Cricetulus griseus: one gene and its partners. The protein of the gene in region 1 interacts with the protein of each later gene in a pairwise test. Links are inferred from orthologs where the notes say so. Each region holds a gene or a part of one and is shown in the gene's direction. Other genes may lie near its edges.

Evidence for each region. The genes of interacting proteins can lie anywhere in the genome.
Region 2: the proteins of Golga2 (region 1) and Arl4a interact in binary tests that used the Homo sapiens proteins (3 or more experiments, as listed by UniProt). The two-hybrid records come from large-scale screens. The link is inferred for Cricetulus griseus from reciprocal best matches to the Homo sapiens genes GOLGA2 and ARL4A.
Region 3: the proteins of Golga2 (region 1) and Plaat5 interact in binary tests that used the Homo sapiens proteins (3 or more experiments, as listed by UniProt). The two-hybrid records come from large-scale screens. The link is inferred for Cricetulus griseus from reciprocal best matches to the Homo sapiens genes GOLGA2 and PLAAT5.
Region 4: the proteins of Golga2 (region 1) and Bcas2 interact in binary tests that used the Homo sapiens proteins (3 or more experiments, as listed by UniProt). The two-hybrid records come from large-scale screens. The link is inferred for Cricetulus griseus from reciprocal best matches to the Homo sapiens genes GOLGA2 and BCAS2.
Region 5: the proteins of Golga2 (region 1) and Magohb interact in binary tests that used the Homo sapiens proteins (3 or more experiments, as listed by UniProt). The two-hybrid records come from large-scale screens. The link is inferred for Cricetulus griseus from reciprocal best matches to the Homo sapiens genes GOLGA2 and MAGOHB.

What each region holds. Positions count from the first base shown.
Region 1 is NC_048599.1:144,031,617-144,036,125, forward strand, and holds part of Golga2 (golgin subfamily A member 2), read left to right. Parts: coding exon 1-52; intron 53-418; coding exon 419-475; intron 476-651; coding exon 652-732; intron 733-1,528; coding exon 1,529-1,567; intron 1,568-1,794; coding exon 1,795-1,857; intron 1,858-1,941; coding exon 1,942-2,035; intron 2,036-2,127; coding exon 2,128-2,234; intron 2,235-4,509. UniProt on the Homo sapiens protein: Peripheral membrane component of the cis-Golgi stack that acts as a membrane skeleton that maintains the structure of the Golgi apparatus, and as a vesicle thether that facilitates vesicle fusion to the Golgi membrane.
Region 2 is NC_048598.1:161,628,759-161,633,836, forward strand, and holds Arl4a (ADP-ribosylation factor-like protein 4A), read left to right. Parts: upstream 1-1,871; 5' UTR 1,872-2,027; intron 2,028-2,434; exon of another isoform or gene 2,435-2,553; intron 2,554-2,995; 5' UTR 2,996-3,082; coding exon 3,083-3,685; 3' UTR 3,686-4,029; downstream 4,030-5,078. UniProt on the Homo sapiens protein: Small GTP-binding protein which cycles between an inactive GDP-bound and an active GTP-bound form, and the rate of cycling is regulated by guanine nucleotide exchange factors (GEF) and GTPase-activating proteins (GAP).
Region 3 is NC_048596.1:51,794,734-51,799,814, reverse strand, and holds the start of Plaat5 (phospholipase A and acyltransferase 5), read left to right. Parts: upstream 1-1,732; coding exon 1,733-1,880; intron 1,881-2,346; coding exon 2,347-2,440; intron 2,441-3,475; coding exon 3,476-3,584; intron 3,585-5,081. UniProt on the Homo sapiens protein: Exhibits both phospholipase A1/2 and acyltransferase activities. Shows phospholipase A1 (PLA1) and A2 (PLA2) activity, catalyzing the calcium-independent release of fatty acids from the sn-1 or sn-2 position of glycerophospholipids.
Region 4 is NW_023276806.1:53,787,225-53,792,278, reverse strand, and holds the start of Bcas2 (pre-mRNA-splicing factor SPF27), read left to right. Parts: upstream 1-1,705; 5' UTR 1,706-1,773; coding exon 1,774-1,866; intron 1,867-1,952; coding exon 1,953-2,045; intron 2,046-4,103; coding exon 4,104-4,174; intron 4,175-4,691; coding exon 4,692-4,853; intron 4,854-5,054. UniProt on the Homo sapiens protein: Required for pre-mRNA splicing as component of the activated spliceosome. Component of the PRP19-CDC5L complex that forms an integral part of the spliceosome and is required for activating pre-mRNA splicing.
Region 5 is NC_048601.1:16,032,088-16,037,025, forward strand, and holds the start of Magohb (protein mago nashi homolog 2), read left to right. Parts: upstream 1-1,589; 5' UTR 1,590-1,663; coding exon 1,664-1,757; exon of another isoform or gene 1,758-1,800; intron 1,801-3,686; exon of another isoform or gene 3,687-3,894; intron 3,895-4,938. UniProt on the Homo sapiens protein: Required for pre-mRNA splicing as component of the spliceosome. Plays a redundant role with MAGOH in the exon junction complex and in the nonsense-mediated decay (NMD) pathway.

The sequences.
Region 1 (4,509 bases):
AACTGAGAGTCTGCGACAACTTTCTCAACAACTCAATGGTCTTGTGTCTGAGGTACCGCAGGATTGGGGTCCAGAAAGAAGGTAGAGGGGAAGAAAGCATGGTAGAAGCTGAGGCCAGGATTCTCAGGAGACTGGCTCATGAGAGGATCCTGTCAGACTCAGAGAAGACAGATTTGGATCCTGATGGGTGATGTGATTTTATCCTGGTGTGGAAAGTGGGAGATGACAGCTGTCGAGGGGCAGAGGCTGGGCCATGGCGGGATTAGAATATGAGGAGTGGCACAAAGATGGTGTGAGAGGAAAGGCTCAAGGTAGACAGGAAAGCAGGTTCTGCTGGTTGAGGGGGAAGGAAGGAGGCTGGGGGGTTAGACGTTGAGTGTGACAGAGCATCTCCATGTGAGATAATTGTCTCTCCTAGTCTACATCCTACATCAACGGGGAGGGCCTCACATCTTCTAACATGAAGGAACTGGAGGTAAGTGGCCTTGGAACATGGTTTAGTGACCCTTTAATCCAACCACCTATCTCCTCTTACAGTGGGACCTGAGTGCCTGCTGCCAGCTGAGACAGCCCACCACCCCAACCCTAATGATGCTCTTTCTACCTTTCCCCCATCCCTCCTCCAACTCCTCCTCTCTGCATGCGCCTCAGAGCCGGTACCAAGAGCTAGCAGTAGCCCTGGACTCCAGCTATGTAACAAACAAACAACTCAGTAGCACGATAGAGGAATTGGTAAGAGTCCAGTGGGGTCCCCAATTCTTGCTGCCAGTCCTGGGCTTCAGTTTCCCCTTGGGGCTCTGAAGAGAGAGACTGGGGGCTCCTGGGACCTAGGGGCAATGGGAAACCTGGGGGCCTCAGTCTCAGCTGGAGGCAGCCAGAGCATAGAGCATGCAGCATGGCTCTTCTCGTTGCTCTCCACCTCTTTTCTGTACTCCAGACTCCTAGCCTGAGTCCTCACCCCACTTGTCCTGAGCTTGGTGCCTCCAGTGGAAGAGATCACAAACCCGATTGGTTGTCAGGAGCCCCATGTCCTGCCCTGGCTTAGGTCCTGATTTGCTCTTTGATTTTGGTTACACCATTCCCTGGGTTTGAGTTTCCTGTTGAGGCAGAGTTGGAGAGTGTCAGAGACCTCTTTCCACTCTTAAGTAGCAAGAGTTTAAAGGCTTACTGAATTGTCAGAACCAAGTGCTCTCCCATTCCTCTCTTGGCTATGCAAGATACAGTCAGTTCTTAATTCAGCACACTGTTCCAAGTCCCCAAGTTGGCAGAAGGTAGTCTTCTTTCTCAAACTCGTTTCTAGTGTTACTGTCCTTTAACTTGGACCCAGATTTAAACCTCTGTTGTATAGTTGTGAATGAGAGGCAGCCAAGACACAGACTGTAGTTTGTTGGGAGCTTGGGAAGTTTGTTGGTTCATGTGCCCATGGGGGTCTGAGCACCTTTTTCAAATCCATCCCCCTGCTCTGTCTTGGTATGGGGTAGCATAAAAGGGGCTAGCCCCAGTCACCTTCCTTTGACTCTTCCCACAGAAACAACAGAACCAAGACACTCTGGATCAACTGGAAAAAGTACTGTGGTTTCTGTGTTTGCTCTTTTCATGGCTGATGGGGTTGTGGGAGGCCTCAGAGTTGCAGATTTTGGTCTTGCTTGATTCTATCCTGGAGAAGACTCACCCCACAGGGTGTCCTCCATAGGATCCTTGATAACCTGTCCTGGGCCACTGGTGGCTTTCTGGGGCTCGTCCATTGCTGGGATTCTGCTTCCCTGCTAAGAACTGCATTTCCCATGCCTGCAGGAGAAGAGGGATTATCAGCAGAAGCTGGCAAAGGAGCAGGGAGCTCTCAGGGAACAACTGCAGGTGAGTGGCCTGTGTGATATCCCTATGTCCCCCAGAGAGCATCTCTCCTTCCTCTCAGCACTTTTGGGGGCTTTTCTTCCAAAGGTTCACATTCAGACCATAGGCATCCTGGTGTCTGAGAAGGCAGAATTACAGACAGCCCTGGCTCACACACAGCAAGCAGCCAGGCAGAAAGCAGGTAGGATCAGAGCATTCTTCAGCCTTGTGCTGACGCCTTGGCAGGCCTGAGGGAGGGTCCCTGGGGCTCCATGTAGACGGCTCTCATTTCAGGAGAGTCAGAGGATCTTGCCAGCCGCCTGCAGTCTTCCCGACAGCGTGTGGGAGAGCTAGAGCGGACGCTGTCTACTGTGTCAACGCAACAGAAACAGGCGGACAAGGTAGGACAAGTTGCCTGTCTGGCCATCAGCAGCTTCCTGGTAGACAGTGAGCTTACAGGACTTTTCTGCATGGTCTAGTGCCTTGCTGCTGACAATTTAGCATGAGCTGTTTGTTGCTGCTTTTGTTGTGAGGTTGGAAGAAGCAAACTGGGGAAGAGTCCACAGCTGGGTAACTGAGGGCTGCACAAGTGAGCTCTGGATGCAAAACCTAGAAGCAGGCTATGACCTCAGCTGGCTGTAACCTTGGCCAAGTGCTGATAGAGGGGATATAGCCCCTGGGCTGTGGAAGTACAGAAGAGCTTATCACTGTGCCACTGTGGGTAGGGTAGTGTGTGTACAATACATGTAGAGTATGTTTGAGATGACTGACAAACTCGGAGCTGGGAACAGGATGACAATCGGGAGGCATTTTGCTTCTATACCCTCTGAGTTTTGGATTGTGTGAATAGACCATCTGTTCAGAAGAGAGCACAAGATCCAAATAGAAATTAACTTTCTTCCTCTTAATTGCAACTCTGGGGGAAAGGGCCTAGAGATTTAGATACCCCAAAATGCTCAAGTTCCATCTCTGCTAAGTGACTTCAAGCCAGCACTTTTGTACACTGTGTTTCTGCCCAGTGGGGGTGACAGCAACTGTTGTCAATGGGTGTGAAGATTGGATAGGTTAGCAGTGAAGTGCTCAGTGCTGTAAATGCCTCAGCCTCCACGTGCTAAGATCAGTCTAAACCACCATGTCCTGGTCCCAGTCTTTTTTCCTGCCTGCTTTGTGCTTATGGAGTTCTTTGTTTGTTTGTTTCTTTTTTTTTTATTTTTCAAGACAGGTTTTTCTGTGTCACCCTGGCTTTCCTGGAACACTCTCTCTGAGATCTGCCTGCCTCTGCCTCCTGAGTACTGGGATTAAAGGTGTGCACCACCACCACCACCACCATCACTTGGTACAGTTCTTTTATTTATATTGTTAAGGTTTATTTACTTTTTAAAAAAAAAAAAAGATTTATTTATTATGTATACAGTATTCTGCCTACTCACCAGCAGAGGGCACCAGATCTCATAGATGGTTATGAGCCACCATGTGGTTGTTGGGAATTGAACTCAGGACCTCTGAAAGAGCAGCCAGTGCTCTTAATCTCTTTTATTTTGTGTGTGTGTGTTGCTTGACTTCATGTATATGCACCTCAAGCATCACTGGCGCCTGCAGAGGGCACTTGGATCCCCTGGAACTGGATTCACCATGTTGGTGCTGGAAACCAAACCCAGGTCTTCTGGAAGAACACCTGGCCCTTTTACTGAGTTTTTCCTTTTTTGTTGTTGTTTTGTAGTCCTGAATAGCTTGGAACTCAGAGAGATCTGCCTACCTCTGCCTCCCAAGTGCTGGAATTAAAGGGTTGTCCCACCACAGCCTGGTTCAGGAGTTCTTATTAAACAAAACAAAAGGAGTGTGTGTTGGGGGGTTGGGTGTTTTCGAAGCACTCAGGAGGCAGCCTGGTCTACATAGTGAGTTCCACCACAACCAGGGCTATATAGAGAGGATCCTGTCTCAAAAAATAAAAAATTTAAATAATTCTTTTTTAATAAAGAGTGAGCCAGATGGAGTGACACATCCCTGTAATTCTAGCACTTGAAAGAGAAAGGCCAGCCCCGTCTGCCTGAGACTGTCTCATAAAACCAAAATAATTGCTGGGAAGGTGACACATAGCTGTGATCTCAGCATGGGGAGGCCGAGACAGGAGGGTTCAAGGCTAGCTTGGGCTATAGTATAGATTCTAGGCTTGCCTGGTTGCTTAGACCCTGCTTCAGGAGAAAAAATGAAAGAGAGCTAGTGTATGATTGGTCAGTGATAGAGTAACTGATTAGCCTATACAAGAACTTGAGTTTGGTTCCCAGCTTTGTAAAAAAAATATTATTAATTAAAAACAAAAACAGGGCTGGAGAGATGGCTTAGCAGTTCAGAGCACAGGCTGCTCTTCCAGAGGATTCAGGTTTGATTCCCAGTTACCCACATGGTGGCTCACAACTATCCATAATTTATGCTTGTGGTGATTAGACATATGTGTAGGCAAAACAACAATACACATATAATAAACAACATTTTAAAAATATTAAACAAAACCAAAAAACAAACACCAGACGGTGGTGGCGCACGCCTTTAATCCCAGCACTTGGGAAGCAGAGGCAGGCAGATCTCTGTGAGCTTGAGACCAGCCTGGTCTACAAGAGCTAGTTCGAGGACAGGCTCTGAAGTTACACAGAGAAACCCTATCTCAAAAAACAAAGC
Region 2 (5,078 bases), on another chromosome or scaffold:
CACTGCAGTCTTTGTTAGAGTTCTTTAACACACATGAAAAATTGTACTCTCTCAAATTCAACTAACAAGCAGTAAGTCTGCTAGTGACTGCTGCCATCGAAAGCCCAGAGTAAACAGTGAAGTGTAGTTCAGTGAGTGATTTCTGGAGGCTGGAGTCTCCGTGTTTGCAGATCTCACCTGTTTAGCTACTAAGACTGCAAAAAAATGCAACTGAGCAAGAATACTTGAAGGGCCTGCTTGAGCTCATAGCTATTGTAAATGGTGGAATTTTACTTTATATTAAGGAGATTTGAAAGCAATTCCAGCTTAATAAAGAATGCCTGTTAAAATTCCCAAGGAGAGCAATTACTGCACTAAAGCTTTTCTCACTTTTTAGGCTAATGACTGTAAAGGGCTAATGAGACCCCACACTTATAACAATCCTCAGCTCAGATTACATTCAATAACTTGATAGAATATGTCATTTGAGATTTCTAGCTTTTTCTTCCAAAATCCATGATGCTGTATTAAAACTAAGCACTGAGCTTATATATCAGCTTCTAAAAACAACAGAAACAAGCTGGTGGTGCCATACTCCTTTAATCCCAGCGTTAGGGAGGGAGGAAGAGGCAGGTGAATCTTTGCTTTGATACCAGCCTGGATCACAGCTACACAAAGAAATCCTGCCCTGGAAAAAATCAAACCAAACCAAACTAAAACCATCAGAAACAAATCTTTCTACGTTGTTCATAAAATAAATACCACTGGCAATAATAGTCTCGAAAAGACTAGAAAATTGCCTACGTAAGTTACAATCTATTTATTTATTTATTTATTTATTTATTTATTTATTTATTGAGTCGGGATCTCACGATGTACCCTTGGCTGGCCTGGAAATCTCTATGTAGCCCAGGCTGGATTTGAGGCATCCAGATCTACCTGTGTCTGCCTCCCAAGTGTTGAAATTAAAGGCATGTGTCACCAAGTCCAGCCAGAATCTATATTTTAAAGTACATTTTTTTTCCTTCGTTTTTTCGAGACAGGGTTTCTCTGTGTAGCTTTGGAGCCTATCCTGGCACTCGCTCTGTAGACCAGGCTGGCCTCAAACTCCCGCCTGCCTCTGCCTCCTGAGTACTGGGATTAAAGGCGTGCGCCACTAACGCCCGGCTTAAAGTACATTTTAAAAGTGCACCATTATTATAGTTTCCATATAAGAATTTCCCAGGAAATTAACCAGGAGTTAATGCCCCTATACTCTGTTGGGGCACTCTGAAAGGATTGCTGGTCACATTCTGTGGTTCATTCTGTCTTATAAAGAACGGAATATTAGCAAAAGGACAATCTGCCTTCTACTGTGAAACACAGACTGGAACACAATTACACTATCTCATGGAGAGCGTTGTGCTCTTCATCACTATAGTTACAGCTTCTCTTGGGCCATTTCGCGTTTCAGAGAGAGCCTCTCCTCCTCCGCCATAGGGTTACTGGTTCCAGTCCCAACGGTTCTGGGGCGCAGCTGGACGCTCGCAGGAGGGAACCCTGGGCTTACACAAAAGGCAGGAGGTTGCCATCCGAGCCAGCCCATGCTGGGGAGGCCGCCGCGTGACGTCAGGGCCCGCGGGGCCAGTGTCCGCCAGCACCCTGGACCCCGAGTCACCGCCGCCGCCTTGCGGAGGTCACCACGGGGTGACAGGAGGAGGGGCAGCGCCGGCGACGCCCGCTCGCACCCAGCCGGTCGGCCGCAGAAAGATCTAGACGCCCCGGCCCAAGCCCCGCCCGTCCCCGCCCACCGCGTTGGAACCTGACGTTGTTTGGACGTTGCTAGGAGACGCGGCGAGCACCCGCGCGCGCGCGCGACCCCACCCCCCCAGAGCGGGCAGGCGCGAGGGGCGGAGCCGCGGGCGCGCCGGGGGCGAGGCTGGCGAGCACCGTTAGCGGGGCTGGCGCGCGCGCGTCGCCCGGCCGCGTCAGGCCTCGCCGCTGCCCGGGGGACGGACTCCCCGGCGGCTCACAGCGCGGAGGCGGGACGACGGGGGACCGTGGGCCAGGTGAGCCGCGCGGTCACGCCCCGGGGACAGCGCGGGGGAGGGGGGGCCGCTCGGCGTTCTGAGGGCGGGCGCGGCGGTCCCCGGCTGTGAGGCCGCGTTGCCGCGGGGACGCTGCAGGTGTGCACGGGAGAGGGCGGGGCGACCCGCGGCCGGGATGCGGTTCCCTCCCTCCCTCCCTCCCTCCCTCCGCGCCTCGATTCCCACTCCGGGCAACAGGTGGTGCCCGAGGGCCGGCTGCGAGCCCTGCGCGGCCGCCCTGGGAGCCGCAGGCGCCCTCGCCAATTAGGGCGCCGCGGAGGGCGTGGCGTGGCCGCCCCGACGCGCTGACCAATGGGATCGCGGGGCCGGGGTGGGCCGTGGGGGTGGGCGTGGCCACAGGCCGAGTCCCAGCTTCCCTGCGTCGCGGCCGCCAGAGCTGCGCCGAAGTCTCGGCCGGGAGGAGCTGCGGCGGCGCGATCCCCGCGAGGAGAGACGCCGGCCAGCCGGCCAATGTGTCCCCGTGGGGATCCGGACTTCAGCCCCGGAGGTGAGAGCTCTGGCTTGCCTCGGGGAGGGGGCCTGGAAAGTGATCCCGGGTACGCGGCGTGTTTCGCCGGCTTAGATCTCCCGGATAGGATTGCCTAGTTTCTAGTTTTCTGCCAAGAAAAGGCCCTTTGGGTGGATACGGTGACGGGCACCAGATAGATACTGGTGACTGCGTTGTCTTCAGAGGAGCTTCTGAGGTTCGGGGACCGTGGAGACTAGAGAGAAGTACACGCTACTCCAAAGCGGAGAGAAGAATGGAACAGAGCCTTTTGGTGATAATTGTTGATCGTTTGTTTTGGATTTCGTACATTTCTCATCTCATCTGGTGTGCTTACTTACAGCAAGTTTTATTAAGTCCCCTCTCGGTGCTTTATTTTTTAGAGAAAGTAGAGAGAACCCATTTTAATGTGTTCACAGTAATAACATAGTCGTTTCCTCCGCAGCAGTCTGGTAGCTCGATCCCCCTGGAAGAGAGACTGTAAGCAGACTAGAAGAACGCGTTCGGTTCGGGACACCGTTTGCAGCTGGAAATGGGGAATGGACTGTCAGACCAGACTTCCATCCTGTCCAGTCTGCCGTCCTTTCAGTCCCTTCATGTCGTGATTCTGGGTCTGGACTGCGCTGGGAAGACAACAGTTCTATACAGGCTGCAGTTCAATGAATTTGTAAATACGGTGCCTACCAAAGGATTTAACACGGAGAAAATTAAGGTAACCTTGGGCAATTCCAAAACAGTCACTTTTCACTTCTGGGATGTAGGTGGTCAAGAGAAATTAAGGCCACTGTGGAAGTCATATACCCGATGCACAGATGGCATTGTGTTTGTGGTGGACTCTGTCGATGTCGAGAGAATGGAAGAAGCCAAAACTGAACTTCATAAAATAACTAGGATATCAGAAAATCAAGGGGTCCCTGTGCTTATAGTCGCTAACAAGCAAGACCTGAGGAACTCACTGTCTCTTTCAGAAATTGAGAAATTGTTAGCCATGGGTGAACTGAGCTCATCAACTCCTTGGCATTTGCAGCCCACCTGTGCAATCATAGGAGATGGACTAAAGGAAGGACTTGAGAAACTACATGATATGATAATTAAAAGAAGAAAAATGTTGCGGCAACAGAAAAAGAAGAGATGAGTGGCAATCAATGCCTTTTTTATATCGGTGTGGAATAGTTTTCCCCGGGCTGATTTGATGAGTTGAAGAGTGTCTACAGCCTGGTTTGCCTGCCTGCCCTCCTGGATGCTATTAAAGCTTTGTTTTGTTGAACAGTCTGATGCCCAACTCTGTTGCCTTGGGGAAGATGAGTAACTGCAATGCTTCTTGAAGTGGCTTGAAGTGGTCTCTTCTCCCTGACCCACAGATCTTTTGGTACTACCATTTTGGGAAGCCAAAAAAGGATAGTCATTGAGCAGAAAGCAATTTTGTGGAAATATTTGACCTGAAGTTAGTGAAATAAAACTTTGAAGAGTGTATGCCTAGTGTTTTGTGCTTGTATCTTTTTGGGGGAAGCCTTTGCCAAGAAACTGCAAACAAGGCTTTGTAAACACAAAATGCTAATGAATGGAAATGTTACGGTAGATTATTTATTGTGTGTACACACAAACACACACAGTTAAATTGAGCACACTGGGATAAGGAAGCATTTTCTTTTTTGAGGTTTTGGCAAGATGATTTTTGAGCATTTTTCTGGAATCAGTTTTTAATGATACCTCTTTAATTCTAGACAGTGTTTAATTTAGTTGGTCTGGCATTAATAAAAACATTTGTGGTATATTCAAGTGCATGGATTAATTTTTTGGACAAGCATGTTTGGGTGTATAATCTTTAGAAATAGCTATGCATCTGTCTACACAGGTTTAAAACAACCTTTTTGGGGGCCTTAGAGCTATTGTAGAAATAGTTCATTGTTAGAAGAACTGTCACTTGAACCTAAAAATGACTCTCTAATATAGTAAATATGAATAAGTTGACTAAATACATATGCTTGAATACATGAATGGATTTTTGGAGAAGTGGATTCAATCAGAGATTGTAATACATAGTCTCTCAAATAATCTAGTTAAAAGATACTTGTTTTATTACTATTTGCTGGCTGGAAGCATTTTTTTTCATATATTTTTGTAGAATTTTGGGAGGGATGAGAGCTTTATAACCACCTGATGAGCTGTGGAATGGATATGTAAGATACCTTTTGATATGTGTTCTGAGCTTTCATTTTTTTGTTTATCAGCTGAACAGTATTTCCAGAGCTTTCTAACTCTGATCATAGGAAGAAATGGTATGGTACTGCAGCTAGGAATTAAGATCCCAGAAAATGAAGGGGAAAGTGGCAAAGCCATTTCACAACAGTTAATGGGCGCTGTTTCTGCTGTAATAAAAACAAAATGAAATTACAAGGAGGAGAGAACTTTAATTCTTATCTCCAGGAAGAGACTTATTTCCAGTAATCACATATTAGCAAATCTGCATATTTCCTATGCTTGAAGCCAACAGCTGTTTGCTCAGAAGTCACCAAAGGAAGTGCACT
Region 3 (5,081 bases), on another chromosome or scaffold:
TAGGATGTTCAGGACCTGCTCTAGCAGATTCGGTGTCTGGGGACACCCATTTTCAGGGTCATAGATGGCAACTGGGGGCTCCCAGCTCTCTAGGGGCCTCTTAAGACACAAATCCCATTCATGAGGAGTTTGCTGTCAGGGTCCAAGTTCTCAAAGCCTTTTACCTAGTCCATTTACCTAGGACCTTGGAGTTCAGTATATGAATTTCGAGAGAACACAGGTATCCAGGCCAGACAGCATTCTAAAAATAAAGCTTCAAGCATGAAAACAAGGTATTTGGGATTAAAAAAGATTTGGAAAAAAAAAAAAACACAACAACAACCAGTTAAAGGGTCAGGGGAAATCAATGGATGAATGGATGAAGAATAGTTTTATATTCCACCACAGAGGCTGACTTTTCATTGTTTGAAGAAAAATGGAAGAAACTGGTGATCATGTCAAGCAAAATAAGCCAGACTCAGAAAGACAAGTGTCATGCATGCTCTCATGTGTGGACTGGGAACAGTAACAGTAAGGAAATGAATGAGAAGGGGGGGCTGTGAAGGATATGGAAATTGAGGTGAGGTGATAGTGAGGATAGTTGAATGACGAATTTGATCAAAGCACATCAAACACATGATTTTGTAGAGGGAAAGACCAGGTGGGTAGTGTCACTGTATGTAGTCTTAGCTGAGGCTGAAAAAAGGGATCGTTTGAGCCCCGGAGTTCAAGAGCAAGGTCTCATGGGGAAAACAAAACAAAACAAACAAACAAACAAACAAAAAACAAGGACTCCTTAGACACAAAACTTAAGAGGGAATGAGAGACACAAAGCAAGGGACATAGGTAGAGCTTGTGTTATAGCTCTGAGGTTCCACCTTTGTTTATTACATTATATATTTATTTAGCTTTATTTTTTTGTTTTACGAGACAGGGCTTCTCTGTGTGTAACTGGCTGTCCTTGAGCACACTCTGTGGACCAGGCTGGCCTCGAACTAGCAGATATCTGCCTGCCTCTGCCTCCTGGGATTAAAGGCGTGTGCCACCAACGCCTGGCACTATTTAGCTTTAATTTTTAAAAGGTTTATTTGGTGTGTATGTATGTTTGTGCTTACACATCTATGTACCATGTGCATGCTTGGTGCTGGCCGGAGGTCAGAAGAAGGTGTCAGAACTCCTGGAACTGGAGTTATAGGCAGTTTTGAGCCACCTCGTGGGTGCTGGGAACCGACCTCGGATCCTCTGAAGGAGCAATAGGTGCTCTTAATCCTAGCCATCACCCTAACTCCCATATCTAGCTTTTGTGTCTCACTCTAGTTCAGGCTTGCCTGAATCTCACTGTGTAGCGAAACTGAAGCGGGCTTCCCAGTGGGGCTTCCCAATCGGGTCTCAGAGCCCTCGGTGTGGCTGGTTAGTCAGTAACTGTGGACTTCTCCAGCGGCCTCAGATGCTCCCTCTGACACTTGGCTATCGCGTGGCGCGCCCGCCTTTCCTCTGAGGGGCTGTGGCGCTTTCCTTCCCGCCAGTGTCCATGGATGAGCTTACTGCACAGGGGCAGCGTCTGCACCCACCCCCGCGCGTGCCCCGGTTCCACGCGGGAGTCCCGCTCCGCGCGCCCTCGCCGCCGTTTGCCGCACGCCCCCTGGAGGCTCTATCCCGGTTCCATCCCCGCCGGACCCGGCGCCCATGATCCTGGAGCTCCGCGGTCATCTGCGAGCACTCCAGGTGCGTTGTCTCCGCTGGCCACAGCGGGATGGGCCTGAGTCCGGCCGCCGGCGGGGAGTACGGGATCCGCCTCTCCAGGGTCCCATGGCCGCGCCGCAAGTTCACCGCGAAGACCAGCTGTACCCCGTCAAGTGACACCCAGCCTGCCACTGGAAAGTCAACCGTGTCCCACGCAGGTCTGCCCCGGGAATGGGGCCTCTCCCTCGAAGCCTTTCTGGGTGGTTCTTGTCCCAGTGAGTAGCCGCCTGTCAAAAAAGACTTGGCAGTTGCTTGCGTCTAACCTCCCCCACCACCCCTACCCCGCCTCCAAAATTTATGGAGGGCAAAGAAGGAAGGGGGCACAGTTCTAATCCTTATTTATTTACTGTATGTTTTGGAGACGGGGGTCCTTCTTGCTATGCAGCCCTGGCTGGCCTGGAACTCTGTATTTTGGTCAGGCTGGCCTGGAACTCAGAGATGTGCCTACCTCTGCCTGCAGAGTGTTGGGATTAGAGACATTCACTACCACACCTGGCTTCGGACATCATTCTAAACCGGAACACCCAGCCCACTTTAGGCTTGAGTTGATCTCTCATGGGGTTCACTTCTTCCCGCACAGAAGGCAGTTGTGTATTAAATCACACCCCTTCCCTCCTGAATTAGAGTCAGCGGGATCTCAAGCTCTGTTGGTCCAACTCCTGCCAAAGCGGTTCAAGAAAGACTGCGGGTTAAAACACTCCAGAAGCTTGCCTCGCGGGTAAGATTCATTCTATGAGGACTGGGGCTTTGGAACCAGAAGCCTTTTTTGAAATCTGTCTTAAAACACCCCAACCCCACCAGGTGATATCTGCTCCAATCAGCCAACAACAAACCATTGAGTAGCACCTACAGGGTAAGATTGAGCTAGGCTGTAGACCTGATGGCTGTTGGCATACCTTATTGAAGTTTTTACCCACAAGGCCTCTCTGCAGGCTCTTGAAAGTTGAATGGGTTTGTAGGATCACAAACTAACAAAAAAACTCAAGAGGCTAGTGCCGGGGTGTTAGGTTGGAGTGAGAGGAGGAGGTATCAGGCTTTTTGCATCTTATATCTTCTCTCCTATTAAAATTATCGTGCAAGTACCCCTTGCTGATAAGCATTTGAAAAGAATAACGAAAAAATAAAAAACAAAACCTAAAAGCTCTGATCAGTGTGGGAGGGGAGAATGAATAATAGAATTTATTTGGGAGTAAGTGCAAAGTGTACACACCTTATGGGAAACCAACAGTGCGTTCCAAGGACATGGGATAGAAACATTTAGAGTTGAAAAGAGGACAATGGAAATTGCTGTGAATCGATCATTTTTTGGCCTCAGATTTAATAAATAACAGTGGCATTTAGGAACCAGCAGGAAGGGTGGGTGGGGCCAATCCAAGTTGATCTCTTGCTGGGCAGGTGTCACTCTTTGGGGCAAGTTATGGCTTTGTGGAATTTCTTGTGGTAGCTCATGTCAATTGTGCATGGCAGCACTCCCTCTGGCTACATTTTGTTTGGATTTGAGACCAGGGGACTCTACTTTGAATGTGACACCTCTCACCTACACAGTTAGTTTTAAACAATTGTCAGAAAACCAGGAGGCAACAGGCTTACTGCATGAAAGTGAATGTCTTCATAGAATCAAGTTGGCAGGTGTGTGAGGGGTGTTCTTTCAATGACAGAACAGGAAGTGCTCAGATCTGAAGCCATTGGTCACACACTTTCCAACAGCTGTGGAATAATGTTGTTTGCAATGTGATTGTAAAATCATTTATAGAGAGAATCCAGTAATTAACATGGAGATCACGTCCAGCAAGAACAAAACAGAGCAGATTTCAACACCCAAGTTGGAGATCGAAGGCGAACTAAAAAGTCAAGAATCAGAGGTGCGTATCCCAGGAATTGATAGCATGAGTGCTTTAGTCTCTTGGTGACTGCAGACTGTATTGTGTTTTACTCTGTGTCTAATAAATGTCTGCACTGACATGAGATATTTATTGTGCATTTTCAAGGAGCTTTACTGAGGTGTATTTAGCACATATTTAAAATTGTAGATGTTTAAAATATGCAACTAGACACTTTTTGATGCTGTTAGAGCTGAAAAGAGAAAAATGGCAGTTCCTGGGAAGGATCTGACACGAGATTACCCCTTAGAAGACCTTTATCAGGAGAGAGAGCCTCACAACACGGGGAGGGGCAGCAAAGGTGTAACAATAAGTCTTTCCACCAAGCCACCCGAGTACTGTTGCCACGTGGGCGCTTTCTGCCTGGCTGAAGTTCTGCCTGCCGCCACGTTGAGGTCCCAAGTAACACACAGAGACTTATATTAGGTACAAATGCTGCTTGGCCAATGACTAGGGTTTCTCATCTGCTAGCTCAGTCTTAATTATCATAAATCTATATATTTTATAAGACTTATCTTATGGGATACCAGCTGCTGGTGTCTTCTCTTGCCAGGATCACATGGCAGCTCCAGAGCAGAGAGCAGGAGGAAGAGAAAAAGGGGATGACTTTCTTCTTGCCTTTGCTTATATATGAGTCTGCCTGCTAAGTCACTTCCTGCCTGTATCACAAGACTTCCTTTTACTACATTTCACAGAATCCTCCTTGGCTCCTAGTCCCACCTAACCTGCTTCTTCATTAGCCAACAGCACTCTATTCAACAGCCAGTAAGATAAACATATACAGAGAAGGACATTCTCCATCACATAGGACTTTGTGAGAGCCTGAGACTAGACATAGTGTCTTAACAGCAGCATGGTGAGGCCTTGGAGGGGGAGAGAGTGCTAGCCCTTCAAATCCTGCGAACAAAGAGGTTTTCTGACTCTGATAGGTTTTGGAGGTGTGTGTGTGTGTGTGTGTGTGTGTGTGTGTGTGTGTGTGTGTAAGCTTCATAGCACATGATCTATCTTGGCCCTGTCACTGTAACAAAGGGCACGGTAGCAGGCATCAGGTGGGACCATGCCTATTCTGCAGCTCCAGGGGATGAACAATGTGCTTTCTTATCAACCCTGGTCTCAGAAAGAGAGAGTTGCAGAGGGTTATAGTCTAACAGAGGGAGGGGAGGGAGGGAGAGAAGGAGAGAACATGAATGAGCCATCAAGGGGCTCTGTGATCTCACAGATAACATGTATACGGTTATGAGGCTCCTGTTTGTCATCCCTTCCCTGTTACCACCGTGACTCCATCGCCAGGCTGCCACCAGTCTGCTTTCCGCCAGCTTTAGATTAGTTTGCATTTTCTTAGCAAGTGTGGTCATAGTGCATGTCCTTCATTTTAAACATTTTATTACATTTATTTATGTATTTATTTATTGTGTATGGGGATGTGGGCTTGTGTGGGGGCCAGAGGACAACTTGAAAAAGTTGGTTCTTTCCTTCTAC
Region 4 (5,054 bases), on another chromosome or scaffold:
ATTAGTTGTTTATAAGATGGGAATGAGTGTTTACTGTGGCTGGTTGTGGCTGCCCCTCTGCAGGGAGATTGTGTTTTGAGGGTGAGAGTCTTACCTTCTTAGAATTTAAAGCTGCTTCCTTTCCTTAAGTTTGTTGTATTTTGTTTTTGTAAAATATTGTGAATTCTGGATATGTTTGTAAAAAAGGATTGTTCGAGATTTCTAGCAAATGTTTACAGATATTTTAATGAATAAAGGCATTTTAAAATCCCACTGATCTCTTGGAGAATTTAAAATAAATCCACTTGAGATGTGTATTGGTTACTTTTCTGTTGCAGTGATAAAAATAAGCAACTTTATTTGGCTTACAGTTCCAGGGGGTCAGAGTCCATCATGGTGAGGAAGCATGGCACCAAGCCAAAGGCACGGAGACCAGAGTCGGGAGCTGAGGGCTCTCATCTTCAAACAGCAACTTGGAAGCAGAGCGCAAACACACTGTGAGGCTTTAAACTCCAGTCACTTACTTCCTCCAGCCAGGCTGCACCTCCTAAACCACAAGAGCGCCACCAACTGGGAGTGTTCAAATATGTAGGTCTAGGAGAGGCAGTTCTCATCAAACCACAAGTTGTGAAGCTCTTTCACTTTACTTAAACCTATAGGCAGCACATTTACATAATGTAAAATCATAAATACCCATATCAATCTTAGAATAACCAGGCTTATAGCTGAGACCAACTTTTCTAACAGATAAGCCTTGGTTGAATGCCCATTAGGCAGGACACATAGGTCCAACAATCTTTTTTGCATTTACCTCTTAGTTTTGGGGTATACTTAACAGAGAATGTATACTAGTTACAGCCTGAGGGGAAGGGAGCCTAGGAGGATCACTATTACCACAAATCCTAAAGGCAAAATGATTGGGTTTTATGTAGGCCCCAGAGACAAAAACATGGCAAAGCTTTTTAAGCAAAGCATCCTGTAGACAGAATTCCAGTCCTTGGAAGGATGAGGTGTTCATTTGTAGCGCTGAAGATTGAGATGGGGCTTTACCACTGAGCTGTCCTGGAACTCGAGCTTGTAGACCAGGTTGGTCTCTAACTCACAGAGATCTCCTGCCTCTGCCTCCCAAGTGCTGGGATTAAAGGAGTGTGCAACCACTGCCCGGCTTACCCCCAGCTTCTTTTTGTTTTTTGTTTTTTCGAGACAGGGTTTCTCAGTATTGTTTTAGAGCCTATTCTGGAATTGGCTCGGTAGACCAGGCTGGCTTCGAACTCTCAAAGATCCGCCTGCTTCTGCCAACCGAGTGCTAGGATTAAAGGCGTGCGCCACCAACGCCTACCCCCAGCTTCTTTAAAGGGCGTGGGAAGTATATTTCTCCCCTCCAGTGAAGTCCAGCAACCACCTCTTGAAAAGTTCCCACGCCCCAATTCTCAGTCTTTTAAACCCCTCTCCCTCCTACTATGCTAGTCTCACTGCATTGCTAGCATCTATGTCTAACTCAAAGGGCATGTCTTGCCTCCGGTCTGCCCTGTTGTTTTTCTCTTAAACTCGAATAAAATCGTCCTCGTAGCCATGGAGGAAAGACAGGCATAATCCCAGGTCTACCGGGACGTCAGTGCGCAAGGCCTCAAACAAAACAGTCCTTAAGACCTAGCGGCTACAGAATCAGCCGCTCTGCACACGGCCCGAATCCGAGAGGCGGCGCTGTGTGTGACGTCATCCCGCGCGCAGGCGCAGTGGCATAGCAGCGAGCCGGCGCAGACTGACGGCGTTGGTGGAGCAGAGTGCCGCGCAATGGCAGGCACGGGTTTGGTAGCCGGGGAGGTGGTGGTGGATGCGTTGCCGTACTTTGACCAAGGCTACGAGGCTCCCGGCGTGCGGGAAGCGGTGAGTATGGGGCGCGTGCGGGGGTGGGGGTCACCCGAGGCATGGTTCCCTTTCTCGCCTTGACCCCGGTTTGTTCTCTTTCTTAGGCTGCGGCCCTGGTGGAGGAGGAAACTCGCAGATACCGACCTACCAAGAACTACCTGAGCTACCTGACAGCCCCGGATTATTCTGCCTTTGAAGTAAGTGCGGTGTCCTGAGTCCCGCATCCTGACCAGGATTCTTGCCGGCTTAGATTTCGGATTGAGGGCTTTAGCTCTGGAAGCAACTGCTGCTTGCTGCTCATGTTGCATGTCAAGATCAGTTGGTTCAAAATAGCCAGATGAGCTTTCCTCAGGGTTCGTATTACAAGAAATACTTTATTGGTTCTGCAGACTTGTTTAATAAAATATTTGGGTCTTTTATTTTTAAGAGTCCCTAGTAAACTTCCCTAAAGGACCCCTTATCCTTTATTCTCTAAGGTCCAGTCAAAAACAGGTAGTAATCACGGGATTTTAATATTTATAATCTTAACTACCTGTACTCTTTGCAACCACTGAAGGGAGATTTTTGTAACAAAACTCAGATAGTTAGCGGATATATGAATGCCTGAACAAACATGCCTAACTGCATACCATTTAAAATTGTTATCCTACAAGTGCAACCAAAATACCATTTAGGTCCTAATCAGGTGTTCATTTGCAAACTTTTAAATGCTTTAATACATTTTTTCTAACCTTTTAAAATGCAGCGCGGTTCCTGCCTTTATAATTAGTGTTCTGGTTAATTTAATACTTTCTTAGTAGTTGTTAATGGTGTATTGAACTATTTTTCCTAGCTCAGAAAATGGTCCTATGAATTACATAACTGTTCATTTTTATTCTTCTGCCAATTAAGGTTTTTAAGGCTGGAACTCATGCTAGCCTATAACTCACTAAGACAGGTCAGCTTTGAACTTGGGATAATCTTCCTGCTTCAGGCTTGTGAGTGTTGGAATTACAAGTGTAAGTCACCATGTCCAGCTCTTGATGCAGGATTGTGTGTGTGTGAGTTTAGACAGAGCCTCAAGTAGATCAGGCTGGCCTCGAACTCACAGAGATCCGTCTGCCTCTAGGTGCTGGGATCAAAGCGTGCGCTGCCACCCCCTATCGGAAAAGCTTTTTAATTTGTTGCAGTTGCATGTATGAATTCTTGTTGCTTCCTAGACTACTGGACTCCTATTCAGAAAGTGCTTATGTACTGTCTATGCAAACTGAACAGAATATGCAATGTATTACAGAACAGAATAGGCACAGTTCGTATCCTCATAATACTTAGATTCTAGTTTTGAGATGGGCAGATAAATTAAAAAGTCTCGGATATTTTTGATAAATGCCAAATAGAAAATTAATGATGTTGCTGGTTGGCTGTGGCCCACACCTTTAATCCCAGAACTCGGGAAGCAGAGATAGGTAGATCTCTGTGAGTTCAAGGCCAGCCTGATCTACAAAACAAGTTCTAGCACAGCCAGGGCTACACAGATGTGATAGCAACTGGGTGACTGTCATACATTAATTAGATGGTTGAGAGAGGTTTTTCAGGCAGAGAAACTGCTCCCTGTGTGGGGTTAGTTGTTGTGATACCTTCCTCATTTAGAACCCAGGTTACAACTGTGTTGTAACCCCTCCCGGGGTTTTTATAACTCCATGTGATTAGTTCAGAAATCAAGTCTCAAATCCAATGTTTCATCTTGTGACTTTATTGAAGTCGAGGTTTTAAACTGGAGTATGTGGGATTTACACTGTGTCACACTACACAGCACTAGAGACTGCCTGAAACATTTGGCTCAGATTCAAGGCTCTCATATGTTGTGAAATACAATGTAATGTGTGGCTGGGTAAAAGTTGTCTTCACAGCTCCACAACTGATTGCAGTGCATTGAAAACTGCTGATTGAGGGTTAATCCTTAACACACAGGTTCTTTTATGTTTGCCTCCTTTTGTGCCTGGGCAGACTATAGAATTAAAGTGGGTGTCTATTTCTTCAAGACCCTAGATAAAATTAAGCCCAGACCCAAACTGGGGGATGGTGAAAGTGTAGCATAGTGGGAGAACATGTGTGAGACCTGGGTCAAATATTAATATCCTTTAAAAAGGGAGATGGGGTTGGTAATTGAGAGAAGCAAAAAGATCCATTATAATGTAGTACAAAGTATAAGATCTCAGTAAACATTATTTTCAACCTGATCCTGGTACTAATTCTTTGTGTTGTTTCTTCATCAGACTGACATAATGAGAAACGAATTTGAGAGGCTAGCTGCTCGACAACCAATTGAATTACTCAGCATGAAGCGGTGAGTGAGGTTAGGCTTGGGGGGAACTCGACAGCGGTGGCTGAGGTTGGGAAGAGCATTGCCAGCTGTGTGGAGGCCGTGAGCAGTGAGATTAGAAGATACAGTGCTGCCAGTTATAAACATGATCACGGCCTTTTTTCTTTAAACAAAAATGTTAGCAAATATAATACATTTAAGCAACTTTCAAAAAGATGGTAAGGCAGACTTTACCCAAGAGGGGTCTCATCTCAACAGGGATGAGAGACATCAGAGTCTCTGTGACTTTTACAGGTTAACTAGTTCACATTTATGAAAATTTTTTTTTTTTTTGTTACAGCATACAGTTGTGTTTTATTTGTAAATTAGTTTCCAGGGTAATTGGTTTCTTTTACTGCCACAGTCATTTTGGGGCAGGGGGAGGGGTGGTAATTTATTTCTTTGTGTGTGTATCAGGCATATATCCATGGGGATTCTATTGGAAGGAGTGATGGAGGCTTGGCAAGATATGTTGGTTTATTTATTTGTTGTATAATTTCAGATATGAACTTCCAGCCCCTTCCTCGGGTCAGAAAAATGACATTACTGCATGGCAAGAGTGTGTAAACAATTCCATGGCCCAGTTAGAGCATCAAGCAGTGCGAATTGAGAATCTGGAACTGATGTCACAGCATGGGTGTAATGCCTGGAAAGTATATAATGAGTAAGAAGCTTTGTTCTACCTCCTCTCTTACCCTGTCCCATCTAGAGTTTTCAGTGTCTTTTAAAGGTGTAGTATGTACATACTTAGAATCCCAGCACTTGGGAAACTGAGGCAGGGGGACTACCACAGATTCAGGGCCTACCTGGTTTATATATTGAATTTAAGGTCGTCCTAGGCTTATTATAGTAAAACCCTATATCC
Region 5 (4,938 bases), on another chromosome or scaffold:
CATTGGGAATTGTGGCCTACCCCCCCCCCCAACTGTTAATCCTTACAAATGAAGCGACTCATAAGTTCTACTTATGAAAAACTTTACCCCGATGGCTGTCTGGGCTTTTCAACTTCATGTGCTGTTTGAACACCAAACTTCCCACTAGAGCGATTCATTTTACTTTTGTCTTTAAAATTTTATTTCTTTTTCCTTTTCTTTGTTTGCTCTCTTAGTCTTAGTTTAGGCTGTTGGCTACTGGGTAACTGTGAAGCACTGTGCAAAGGCTTGTTAGGACTCAGGAAGATATTCTGGTTGCCACTGGAATGCATCTTTACTCACCTCACCAGTTACAGGAAGTAGAGCCACACCCCGCTTTACAATGTGCTTCGAGATCAGAGATACCCACAAGAAGTGCAGCTTGTAAACCTTGGCTAAAAACCCAGAAAAGCCACACCCACACCAGAGGGCAACCAGAAAGTACAAGTGGTTTACGAATGTTCCTCCCAAGCCCATTAAAGAAAAAAAAGAAAAGCTATTTGTTCATTACTAAGATAAAATGAAATTGGAAGGAAAAAGGATGAATCTGGAAATTATTATAGTAAGTGGGGGGTAACCGTGAAGTATTAAGACAGATAACCCATTCACTCTTGAACGTGGATCTTAGCTTGTGTACGTAGTTAGATGCTTTTGAGTGTTGGTTATCAAACCAGAAAGGGGACTGGGGGCTAGTTAAAGAAATGGACTGACGAGGTAACAAGGTGCATTTGACAAGACAGTGCGTGTTATGATAATGTGTGGGGAACCTTGGCAGGCGAGGGACAAACATGCCAGGCAGGCAGAGTTTAAGTGAGATTAGAAAGGGAAAGGAGGGGGGGCGGAGGAAAGAGAAAAGAGACACAGAGGCAGAGAGAGAACAGAAGAGAAGAGGGAGACAGGAAAAGTCCTGTCTGCCCCAAGGGAGCAGCGGGAAAGAGAGCCTGAAAGAGAGCATAAGAGGGCGGGGTGGGGTGGGGGTGTGTCTCTCTCTTTTAAAGGGGGTCCTTTGCACCTGCGTGCAGACTTCGCAACCACGGACCCCTGGGCTGACCCGGGTACTGCCCGAGTGCATTCTGCCAGGTGACGGGGACAGGCAAGCATAATGCCTGAGTCCTTAAAGTGCGAGCAGGAATACGCGGGCAGAAGGGCTGGAGGCAGTAGATGGAGGAGGTCACACCCAAACAATACAGAATCCAGGTCATGAAATCCGGGGACTTCAGCCTCCATCGTGCTCGTGCAAGCAACCCTTACTAAACTCGGTGAGGGCCCCCGACCCACCCGCAACCCAGACACAAGGAAGACAGAAAAGGAGACAGAAAAGGAGAGAGGGTAACGAGGAGGAAGTGACTAAAATTCATCATACACGTGTATGAAAATCGTCCAAGAACTAAAAGGGAAAGAGCAAACCATATAAAAATCCTTTCCCAAACGAAAACAACGTGCTTGGGATCTCGGTGCAGCCGCTGCTGCGCGAACCTCTAGCTGTCCTCAGCGTGTCCGGCGGGACCCGCGGCTCCCCTGGCTTTCTTTTCCCTAGGGAGAAGGCGCGCCCGCCGTGACGTTCTTTGCCCGCGCCCCTGACGTCACTGCCCCGCGCCGGCGGCACGTTGGCCTGGCCGTGCAGCGGGCTGGGCCGACGGCAAAAATGTCTATGGCTAGTGATTTCTACCTGCGCTACTACGTAGGGCACAAGGGCAAGTTCGGGCACGAGTTTCTGGAGTTCGAGTTTCGGCCGGACGGTGAGCGGCGGAGGGGCCGCGAGGGAGGGCGAGCCCCCAGCGGGTGGGTTTCTATTTCTGTTCTTCCTTTCTGTGTTATTTCAGTTTTCCTGTTTGGTTTTGAGTCCGGGGTGTGTGTTGGGAGGGGGGGGGGTCTCGTTGTTTAGTCCAGGATGACTTCGAACTCCCGGTCCTCCAGCCGGGCTGGAAGGGCTTCTTTCCGACATAGATTAGAAAGCGCCCGAGCGTGCAGCGTAGCGGGCTTGGGTGTTTGTTTTTGTGAGAGCAAAATTGCTGTAAAGGTATCCAGAAAAGCGCACCCAGCTACCGCCAGCGAAGTTGAACACGGAAAAATCGGAAACCCAGAATGCAGAGCCTGTGCCTCGGCAGTGTTGACGGAATTACCGAGTGATACTTCAGCAGATACTTGAAGTCTTTGGGGGGCCTTTTGGCCTGCTCGCTCATTTACTCTGTGTTGAGGATGCTTTCTAGGGGAGGAAGCTCCCCTGTCTGAACAGGAGTGTGATGTGTGTTAGGCATTGAAATACCGTCTTTATCATGATACGTGGATGGATGGAGGTCAGAGGGAAGGCCCTAAATGAAAGCTTCCCAGAAGCGCCTTTCTCATTGCCTACTAGGTGTTCAGCCCTGTTAAAAAGAAGCTGACTATCTCCTCCCCAGCCACTGGCTGTCAGAGCAAGTAGACGGTGAACACAAGCTCTGTGCTTTCTGAGAGAGGCAAAGGCGGAGGAAGTAGCTGCTGTTGCTCTGGGTGGAGAGTGGAGGACTTGTGTGGTCCCACTCATTGGTGGGAACGACAGATAAGGTTTCCCACGAAATAAGGCTTCATGACCCCCTGCAGAGTGTGTCTGCTGTCCAGTAAGGAGCATACTTGCTGTAGATCAAGGAGAAACATTGTGGATGCCAATCTGATTGTCTTCAGATTGGTTATCATTAAAAAAAAAGGATAGTCCTGGACTGACAGCTAGCAGAGTCCTAAAGCTTTTCAATTTCTCTAAAGATGGTATCTACCAGTATTTTGTCAGAAAGCTCTTAAACAAAGAAGGTAAGAAGTCCGGGGCCAAAGCACCCAAGATTCTCAACTCCAACTTACTGCTCTGAAGAAACAACACACTAAGAAAAACGACAAAGCTGCAGGATATGCTACACTCTTGGCCTACAGAATGAAGGAAGCCAAAAACAACAACAACAACAACAACAACAACAACAAAAAACCAAACCAAACACCAAAAAAAACCCCAAAACCCAAAACAACCCCCAAACAAAAAAACACCAGGCATAGATTTCCAAGAGACATAGGCTGTCCTTGCTGAGAACTTCTACTTTTAAGTCTGAGTCCAGTAAAGAGTAACAAATAAATGATCAAACCTTGAGTTGAAAAAAGAAAACAAAAACAAACAAAAAAACCCCAAACCCAAAAGCTTCCCCTAAACCAGGTGTGGTGGCTCATGCTTCTAATCCCAGCACTTTTGGGAGGCAGAGGCAAGTGGAGCTCTGTGAGTTCCAGGCCAGCCTGGTCTATAGAATGAGTTCTGGGATGGCCAGGGCTATACAGAGAAAGTCCTTCTGTAAAAACAAAACAAAATACCAAAAATAAAATACAATAAGCCAAGCTAAAAAAAAAAAAAAAAAAAAAAAGTCCCAACCCCATAAAAGCTTCTCCTAGAAGATGAGACACTTGAGATCAAAAGGAAACACTTTCTTGTCTTCTGGGTGAAAGAAAAACCAGAGATGAGCAGAGTGAGCAGTGGTTTGTGGAAGCCCCTCCAGTGTAGTGTAAGGCAGTTCTGTCTGGACAGATCTGCTTTCCTGGGTTTTATTTTTGAATACATATTTAAGTGCCAAAGCTGAAGGTCGAACGTGAGACACAGACTTTTGTTTTTGATTTTGTTTTTTTTGAGACAGGGTTTCTCTGTGTATCTTTGTAGACCAGTCTGGTCTTGAAGTCACAGAGATCGCCTCCCCCTGCCTCCTGAGTGCTGGGATTAAAGACATGTGCCACCACCGCCCGGCTGAGACACAGGCGTTTAATCGTATGACTGTATAGATTTTAATTAAGTGCTGTGGACACGCTTCTTTGAAAAGGAAAGTAGGAGAGGATCATGTATATGAATCAAGCTTTGCAGAAGAAGTCAAGGTAACTGTGATCCTGTAGTTGTTTAGAAACTTAATAACTTTACCCTTTGTTCTCCAAAATTTGTTTGGAGCAAACTTACTTTGTTTTTTTGTGGTTGTGGTGGTGGTTTTGTATTTTTTAATTTGATTTGCTTTTTTTATTTCTTTTGTAGTTCTGTTCTTAGCCCCCTTGGCTGTGAGTGCCATGCAGCTTGTCCTTGTCACCCCGAGTCACACAAATAAGAGTAATACTTACCAGGGAAATGCTCTGTATGGATTGGTTCTCATGCACCTTTGCCACCCAATCATTCCACTTACATGAGAAATAGTGACTCACAGAATTTACAGTTCTTGCTGGGTACACCCCAGTATGGTGATCTGTCATTTTAGCAGATAAGAAAGCCATCACAGCTGTATCAGCCCATGGCTGACTAGCCATGCAGGGATGCACACTTTGGGAGCTTCGGAGGTCATGACAGATGGTTTGAAATAAATCAGCCAACAAACTGGCAGTTTACATGGTCTGCATGCTTCCAGTTATAATTTAAAGATTTTTTTCATTATCTTAATTATACACTAATTTGAAGGAAAACAATTAAGAGAATATTTTGGAATAGTAGAGAAAGGGTTGATACAAAGGAGACTTCTTGAGACTTGTGTGACTCTGAGCAAGTTGCTTAACTTGATTTTATGCCCTGTGAATAGGTGAGAAAGTGGAAGCTGCTGCTCGAATTCCTTTAGAGATCAGAAGAAATGCTGTGAGAGCTGCCTTAAGCATCAGCATGTCACACTTGAAGAGAATACTCAGTGCTTTGTCACAGTCACGTTTAGTTTAGGGGCTAGATTGAGAAAATAATCTTGTTTGTTGTGAACAACTTTAATCCCAGCAGTTAGGACACAGACTGAGGCAGGTGGATAGATCTCTGTGAGTTCAAGACCACCAACCTGACTACACAGTGAGATCTTGTCTCAGAAAGGGGAGGGGGGTGAGAACAGGCCTTAAGAAACCTGACCCATTCTAAATGGAAGCTGTGGAACATTTTTTTAATTATTAGTTTTTATTCTT